Saccharomyces cerevisiae S288C: one gene and its partner. The protein of the gene in region 2 purifies or fractionates together with the protein of the main gene of each other region. This does not show direct contact. Each region holds a gene or a part of one and is shown on either strand. Other genes may lie near its edges. The genes, in order: TPD3 and RTS3.

Region 1 (4,482 bases), on a different chromosome or scaffold from region 2:
TTGACGTTCACGTGGATAGATTGACCAAGCTTTGGAAATGGGTAGATGCGCAGAAATGCAAGACTCCAGATCAGACAAGAACTCAATTACAAAATTGGCTGCCTAAGGGGCTTTGGACAGAAATAAATGGGTTGCTGGTTGGATTTGGACAAATAATCACTAAATCGAGGAACCTTGGTGACATGTTACAATTCTTGCCACCGGATGATCCCAGAAGCTCCTTAGATTGGGATTTGCAGTCTCAATTGTACAAGGAAATCCAGCAAAATATCATGAGTTATCCAAAGTGGGTGAAATACCTGGAAGGAAAACGTGAACTGAACGTGGAGGCGGAAATCAATGTTAAACACGAGGAGAAAACAGTTGAAGAAACTATGGTCAAACTGGAAAATGATATTTCTGTTAAAGTAGAGGACTAAGTGTGGTAAAAAAAAAAAAAAAGAAAAGAAAAGAAAGCAGGCCTAGTTGTTAATATGTATACTTTTTATTCATTCAAGTGTACATATGTGTATGTATGTATATATTTGAACTAGTATCAATTTTTTAAAAGTTCTTGACATTCTGCCAAACTTTTCTTAGCGAAGTATTTTACATCAACATCTTCGTCTTGACACAGCGTTTGCAATGAGGGTAAAATTGTGTTCTTAATTAATGCATCATATTTGGCCTCGTCCTTAATTAAAACCTTCACTATCACAGCGTAGGATTTGGCCACATTAAACCTAATATTTGGAACACCGTCATCAGCCAAGTGAGAAATGAATGGTAATAGTTGCTCAGTAACGACATCTAACGATACCACGGGCACCAAAGTGGTTAGAGCAGAGAGTATTGTGAACCTCGAGACAAAATTTTCCAGTAATTGTAGATCAAATTTGAGCAGTCTTGAAATAATTTCATCACGACACCAATCAGAGCCAAATATTTCCGTTAACCTTTTTAAATTATTCACTGCGGCTTCTCTGATAGAATAAACAGTATCCCACAACCATGAAAGACATAAATCGCTTAACTGTTGGTCAAAAAATTGCATACCTAATTGTTCTGCCAAGATAGGTATGTACTCAATTATAGCCATTCTAACTCTCCAATTCACGTCCTTGGCTAATTCTGTTATGGCAGGTAACAAAGAGTCTGATAGCAGCTCAATTCCTATTACGTCATTGACAACCTTCAAGCTGGCAATGATATTTAAACGAACGTCAGGGAACTCATCTCTTAGCATATTCAGTAAAATCGGAAGAAAATTGTTAATGACTTGATCTTTATTCAACAGTAATACAATATTTGTAATCTTAGAAGCCAAAGCAGATCTCACTGTTTCACTTTCGTCCATACTCAAATTCTGCACAGCAGGTAAGATCTTATTCAATATAATTGAAGGATCATTTAGGAACTTGGCAAACCCAGAAACTTGTTTAGCCACAGCTTCCCTAACATCTCCCTCGTTGTCCTCACAAAGGTTCAAAAATGGTTGTACTAATTCATCGATATATGCTTGGTTGGAACTGAATTGCGAGGCTAAATCTGAAAATCTATCGGCAGCCATGTAACGTACCCTCCACGCTTCGTCACCAATTAATTTGACAGCAGAGTTCAATAAATCTTGAGTGTGAGACTCATCACCTTTAGCGTTAAAAAATTTCAAGATGGAAATTAAACAATCAACTGCCAGAAACTTGACAGAATCTTGATTATCGTTAATGATTTTCTGGAAAATGTTAGAAATGTAATCCCAATCTTCGTCTGTAGATAATCCCAAATTTTGAGTCAACAGATCGATCAAGATGGGCAGGTTTTTACCGACGGCCCTTTTCACCATTGGAGTATCATCTTGAGCGAGTTGTAAGTATAAAGCCAGGATATTCTTTCTCAATGAATCATCTTTGATTCTAACAATAACAGACTTGAAAAGACCACAAGCAGAAACTTTTGAAGAAAACCAATCTGCAGTAGCTAAATGTTCAATTAAAGGGACGAAGTCACTAAATAATTGTTCTTGAGAAAGTTCTTGGGCCACGTTATTCAGAGAATCTACGGCCTTTTCTCTAACCAAAGTTTCTTCTGCAGATGCCAAAATTTCCAAAACTGGTAATAGGATTGTGGCGTATTGAGGACCGCCAATGTAGGGGACAAATTTTCCTAACTGTTCGGCTAAAACGGCAAACACCTCATCTTCATCATCTTGTGCAACTTCCGTTAAAAAGGGAATCAACTCGTTTCTTGTTCTTTCGGGACCGAGTGCCAACGCGATGGTATCTAGTTTTTTCATGGCTTCTACCCTATTAGCAATATCATCATGTTTTAACTCATCCATAAGCAGAGCCAAGGGATATAATGACTCGTTAGAGTCTGAGTCCTTAGAGTTTGACGTTGTTGATGTTGTTGATGTTGTTGCTGCCGAGGGCACGGCACCTGCCGTTGTTGATCTTGCTCCAGACATATTTCGCTCCTTTCTGACCACTCAATTATTCTTCGATAATCAGATACCAGTTGTTATAGTCGTCGAAATAAGTTCCACGTTAGTATTGTTGCTATCTGCCTTCCTTCGTAACTTAGTTCCCTAACACTTTCTCCTGTTAACTCTTTCACCTTTTTCGCTTTCCCTGCAAAAAGGGCATTCCGGGTATTATCGTCTGTAGTGATTTAATAATGGTAATAAGCTCTTTGCATTAGGAAGAGAATAGCAGTAGTATTGATCAATAGTTCATGTGGTATCAGTATTTCTGCTTTTAAGGTATGGTTTACTATGTAATTTCAATATTTACCCTATCTTTGTTTTCTAAATATGTAAATTTTTTATATTTAAGTCTTGATTAACTGCTTTGGATGCTGTATTTTTATCATATTAACATTTTGATTAAAGAAAGAAAGTACATATTGATTTATTCATATTTAAATAGAGAAAACTACCAACTCATTACTGAAGAAAGTAAGAAGAACGACATACCAAGCATTGTTTCTACTGGATATTTTTTTGCATTTTCTTTTCCAATTACTAATGTCCTAGAATGATCATTAATCCTTCAAATAACCAACCATTTGTCGTTATTTATGTCGTCAATGGTGGGTCTCTTCGGTACGCAACGGTTCAAAATACTCTTGATTAACTCAATGCAATCTTCACTAACTTCCTCTGCATTATTGAATTTCAGGTCGCCTTCTAATATTTCATCTATATTGTAGAAGGGGTTTTCTTTGAAGACCACCGTATACAATAGAATACCAATAGCCCAAATATCCTGTGGTTGGCCCTCATAAGGGTTTCCTCCTAAGACTTCAGGGGCAGCATAATCTATTGTCCCAACAAAAACATCAAATGGTCCGCTTTTGACATACGCAGCAGATCCAAAATCAATAATCTTAACAAAGCCTTTAGAATCTACGATAACATTCTCATCCTTGATATCTCTGTGAACAATACCCTGGTCGTGTAGATGTTTTATTCCCGCTACAACCTGCTTGAATATCAATTTTGCTTCAAATTCGGTCATGTTGGTTTTAAATTCAATTAGATCGAAAAGATCTATACATCCTGTTTCACCATGTACGGGAGTTTCGATATAATAGTAATCGTCGTCTTCAAAAAAATCCAGTAACCGTAAAATATTCTCATGTGGTTTTTTGTTCAACGTGGCCATAATTTGGATCTCAGAAGGTATAGTGCCTAATTTCCTATCTCTAACCCATGTATCTACAAGGATTCTTTCTTTAAAAATCATCTTAATCACCACAATATACCTATTCTTCTTATGAATACATAGGTTGACCTTACCATATGCACCTTCACCCATTTTTTGCAGACTTACGAAGTCCGAAAACTTCTTAACATGCTTTTGAGCACCGATGTTCTTTTCGGGGGTGCGTAGGAAAGTACTAACAGGTTGGTTTCCTCGCTTGTTAGTCATTATGATTCCGTCTTCGTCTTTAGGTGATCCCGCTAATCCGTTTTCTGTAGCGTTTTCGTCAATTAGCTTTTCCTCTTCAAGTGGAGAAAGCCCTTTCCCAGAACTTTTAGAATCTGCTAAGGATTCAGTGCTTGGGGAAAGTGAAATTTTGCTAATAATCAAATTTTCGTCAACTTTAAAATTTCCTTCTTTCACAAATTGAGATTTATCTCTTGAGTAAATTCTGGCCAATTCTAACTTGTGCTTCATTTCGGGGTCTGCAAGCATCATCTCGCCACTGTCCTTATCGTTTTCCAGGGGAACTTGTTCCTGCTCGGACAAAGTAGATTGAGAATGTGCTCTAGAATCATCTCCGATTTCATACTTAAGCTTATTCGTTCGGTGGGCCAAATCCTCATATGTTGACAGATTACTCATGTCCTTTAATGTCCCGGTGGATATCCTAGACGAAGATTTTTTGGAAGAGCTGGCAGAACTACTTGCACTGCTCATTAAACTTAATTCACTCTCCTTCAGCATCTTCAATTGAGATGGATTTGTATTATATTCTTCAAATACCACGTCTCTCGAATGT
Region 2 (3,277 bases):
ATCAGGCACTTACCCCCAGGAAGGATTACGTCTTTAAATCAGAGGATCAAAGGGTAATTAACAACCACCAGTCGAATTGCTGTCGTCTTTCTTCAATTGCTTTATCCAAAAATCTGAATGGATGTAAGTATTGCCCAGTAAGTTTTCTTGGCAAAATAACCTATAGCGAAATAGACAATCAACGTGATGGGGTTTAAATAGCTAGCGGTAAGTAACCACTAGTAGAACGTAGCTCCATAGCGTGTAATTTGGCGGCAAAATATGTGAAGCAAGCATATTCGTTATTACTTAGCTGCCTGTGAAATCCTGTCTGTGCCTTCTCTTTGCCTTTACTTTGTATAAAAACATATCAACACTGTCTCTGCGTATGAGGCCGAGGTATTTAGAGCATAAGAAAAAATGTGAACAAAAATAGTGTCATCTCCAGTAAGGCTTAAATGTATATTGATTTTCTATATATATATATATATATATATATATTTATGAAATAAACCATATAATTATAAGTAGTAGCTTGGAAAAACGCCAAAGTTGTACTTAGAATGAGGTTTTAAAAAAAAATTATAAAAAAAAACCAAGCGAGAAGTCACGCTTATAACGCAAGTGCACGAACTGCATATGTGTTGGATTGCCAAAGATCAATAGGAAGAATATATTTAGAGAAACTCTGTTTTCTTATGTATCTCGCTTACAGCCTATTTCAATGAACCAGTTTGGAATCTCTTTGCCATGAGATCAGCCTTTAAAGAGTTTGAGCCATCGAGACTGTAATTGGAAGAACGCCTTCTCCTGTCATGAAGAAGAGCACCGGATTCGGTTAAATCGCTAGACGAAATGCCGCTTAGAGAACGTGGAAGAAGAGTGTGATGTGGAAGATCGGCGGAGGGAAGGTTTCTGTTTGTTGTTGGTGCTGAGTGGATTTTAGTCTCAATGGGGAAAATCGTGTCTGAGATGCTTGTTCCGTTAGATATGGAAGCGTTCCGGCTTGACCTTCTGGCGGAATGGGAAATGTGGGTCATGGAGTCCTTGGGTGTTAAGGGAAGTACGGTGTGTCTGGATGCACCATCTGTGAGCTTTAGCTTTGGAGTGTCGAGGGTGTAACCATAATTGCAGTCATCATCATCTAGGATGGCAGACTCGCCTTCGAAAAATGGAGACGACCTTCTAGCCGGGACCGGATGGTGCAGTTGATTTTTTAACCTAGAGTTTTCTTCTTTTAAAGTTTCAATTTCCCGTAGAAGTCTTACTACAATAGCGTCTTGCTCCTTTTCCATTTCGTTTATTATTTCTTCCCTCGAAAGCCTTCTCTGTGCTGACATTGGTGACGAAGAAGGAGACGACGACGTCGAAAGTCTGCGAGGATCACGTGCTACAGCTGGTCTCATGGCTCTTGTAACTGAAGTTTGTCTCTCTCTGCATGGTTTGGCAACAGCCTTCTTGTGTTTTGATTCTTTATTCATGTTTACGGCTCTGGAGGTAGCGATCATTATACTTTATCTTCTATTAATGCTATGATTGATGAATTATACGTATGTATGTATCTGTAAGAAAATAGCCGAATGATTGATTATCTTTTCTTATATATGATTCAAGGGAACGAAAAGAAGACAAGATAATGTTAGGCAAGATAGTTTTTTAGACGACTGAGGCCGAAGATAAGCTTTATATATATGCAAGTCTATTTTTGTACGGGCGAAACCATCTAAGCCAACGATAACAATAGCCAGCTATGATCGTTGAGTACAGCGTGGGGCAATTTTTAGCGTGATTGATAAGGGCGCATTATCTCATCATCCATCGCCAATTTGGGACTCTAACGGCAAACCTCGGATTTCCGTGGAAACGCATGGAAAAATTGATCCGGGCTGTGAGGGGAGTCGAGTCAGTCACTTTTTGGCAACTCTCTCCGTCATGACCACTACTCCGCGGTAGCTGCCAAATTTGGTATTTCCAGGTTGTTTTTTGTGGACAGCCCGCGATCATATGTAAGAGCAGGATGTGTCATCCGCGGGTGAGGTAAACGCTGGCTTGCCATTATGGTTTTTTGGTACGTGTTGAACACGTTGCTTACGATCTTGGTAGGGGCGGGCTGTGATGTGAGAGCCACAAACCCGCTTCCTCGTTGTGGCTCTGGCGCTCCGTTTCTTCTTTCCCCCGCCTTGTAATATGTCGTGCATGCGTCCATGATGATATCGTATTTATTGTATATTGTGGTGATTTCGGCATATTTTAGCACATCTGTAGTATACCACAGAGCTAAAACAACCGATTATAGTCAACATTATACAGCATTATGTCTGGATACTTCAACCATCTTTCTTCGAATGCACATTTCGCAAATATTCAAGCCGATCAGGGCTTCATAGGTGATGCTACTGGCACAAGCAGCGATCATGGCAGTAGTGGCATGGTTGATTTTGCCCTACAACTCGGAGAACTGAGCCTAGAAGAGAAAATACTTAAAGAGTTCACCTTATTCCAGAGCAAGAACATGGACTTATTGCAAGAGACGGCGACGGCGTGTCCGAGTACTAATCCTTCCTTGAGACAGAGCCGAATTCAAGGCTGGTGAACGCCTGATGCGAGCTATACGTTTTGTGCTCACCGTGCACATATGGTGGCTACTTTTCTACTCAAACACGTTTGAAAAACGGCATACGATTAGCTTACAGATTGAACTCAAAGAAGTCGCAATGGGAGGTGCAGAAGATGACGTGTTACTTAGTTTATAATACAATGTGTTTTATATATCGATTCTTCGTTTATGCATTTCTGGACGATTGCTTTTCACTGTAAATACGCACTAATATTCATGAATATAAAAAAATGTAACATCATATCTCAATGTTCTTCTCCGTCAGTCAGATAGTGGCAAGGCTGTGATAGGACATTCTTAGAACGCCAAGAAAATCAAAAATTTGAACGGTATCTAAATTCATTTGTCGAACCCTTGAAGAAACTCACAGAGCGGGGTATCTACTATTTTGTTTTCGTTCTTTTGAATCTCCGCTACGTCACATTTTCTACAACCCTCAGGTCCCCTCACCACGAAAATCCAAGATTTGTAAAATATGAGCCGCGTATTTCTGCAATGGTAGAAACGATAATGTACCTATCGTACAACGATACATTATTTTAGTGCATTATAAGCCGCTTGATTCATGTTGATAATTAGCGGCTAAATTGTAGTAGTCATTCAAAATAATCGTACACCTTCATATAGTTATGAAAGGGGTATAAAAGATGAACGCTCGTTGGCCATGTCAAAGGTGCCTTA

Evidence for each region.
Region 1: the proteins of RTS3 (region 2) and TPD3 purify together in Saccharomyces cerevisiae (affinity purification with mass spectrometry; 4 studies listed by BioGRID). This does not show direct contact.

What each region holds. Positions count from the first base shown.
Region 1 is NC_001133.9:122,840-127,321, reverse strand, and holds TPD3 (protein phosphatase 2A structural subunit TPD3), read right to left. Parts: upstream 2,444-4,482; coding exon 536-2,443; downstream 1-535. Other genes in the region: bifunctional N-glycosylase/AP lyase NTG1, read left to right, coding at 1-419; serine/threonine protein kinase PSK1, read right to left, coding at 3,027-4,482. UniProt on the Saccharomyces cerevisiae protein: Phosphatase 2A affects a variety of biological processes in the cell such as transcription, cell cycle progression and cellular morphogenesis, and provides an initial identification of critical substrates for this phosphatase.
Region 2 is NC_001139.9:807,934-811,210, forward strand, and holds RTS3 (Rts3p), read right to left. Parts: upstream 1,488-3,277; coding exon 696-1,487; downstream 1-695. Other genes in the region: YGR161W-C (uncharacterized protein), read left to right, coding at 2,294-2,572. UniProt on the Saccharomyces cerevisiae protein: May be a component of a protein phosphatase type 2A (PP2A) complex. Negatively regulates SIT4 phosphatase, a modulators of caffeine sensitivity.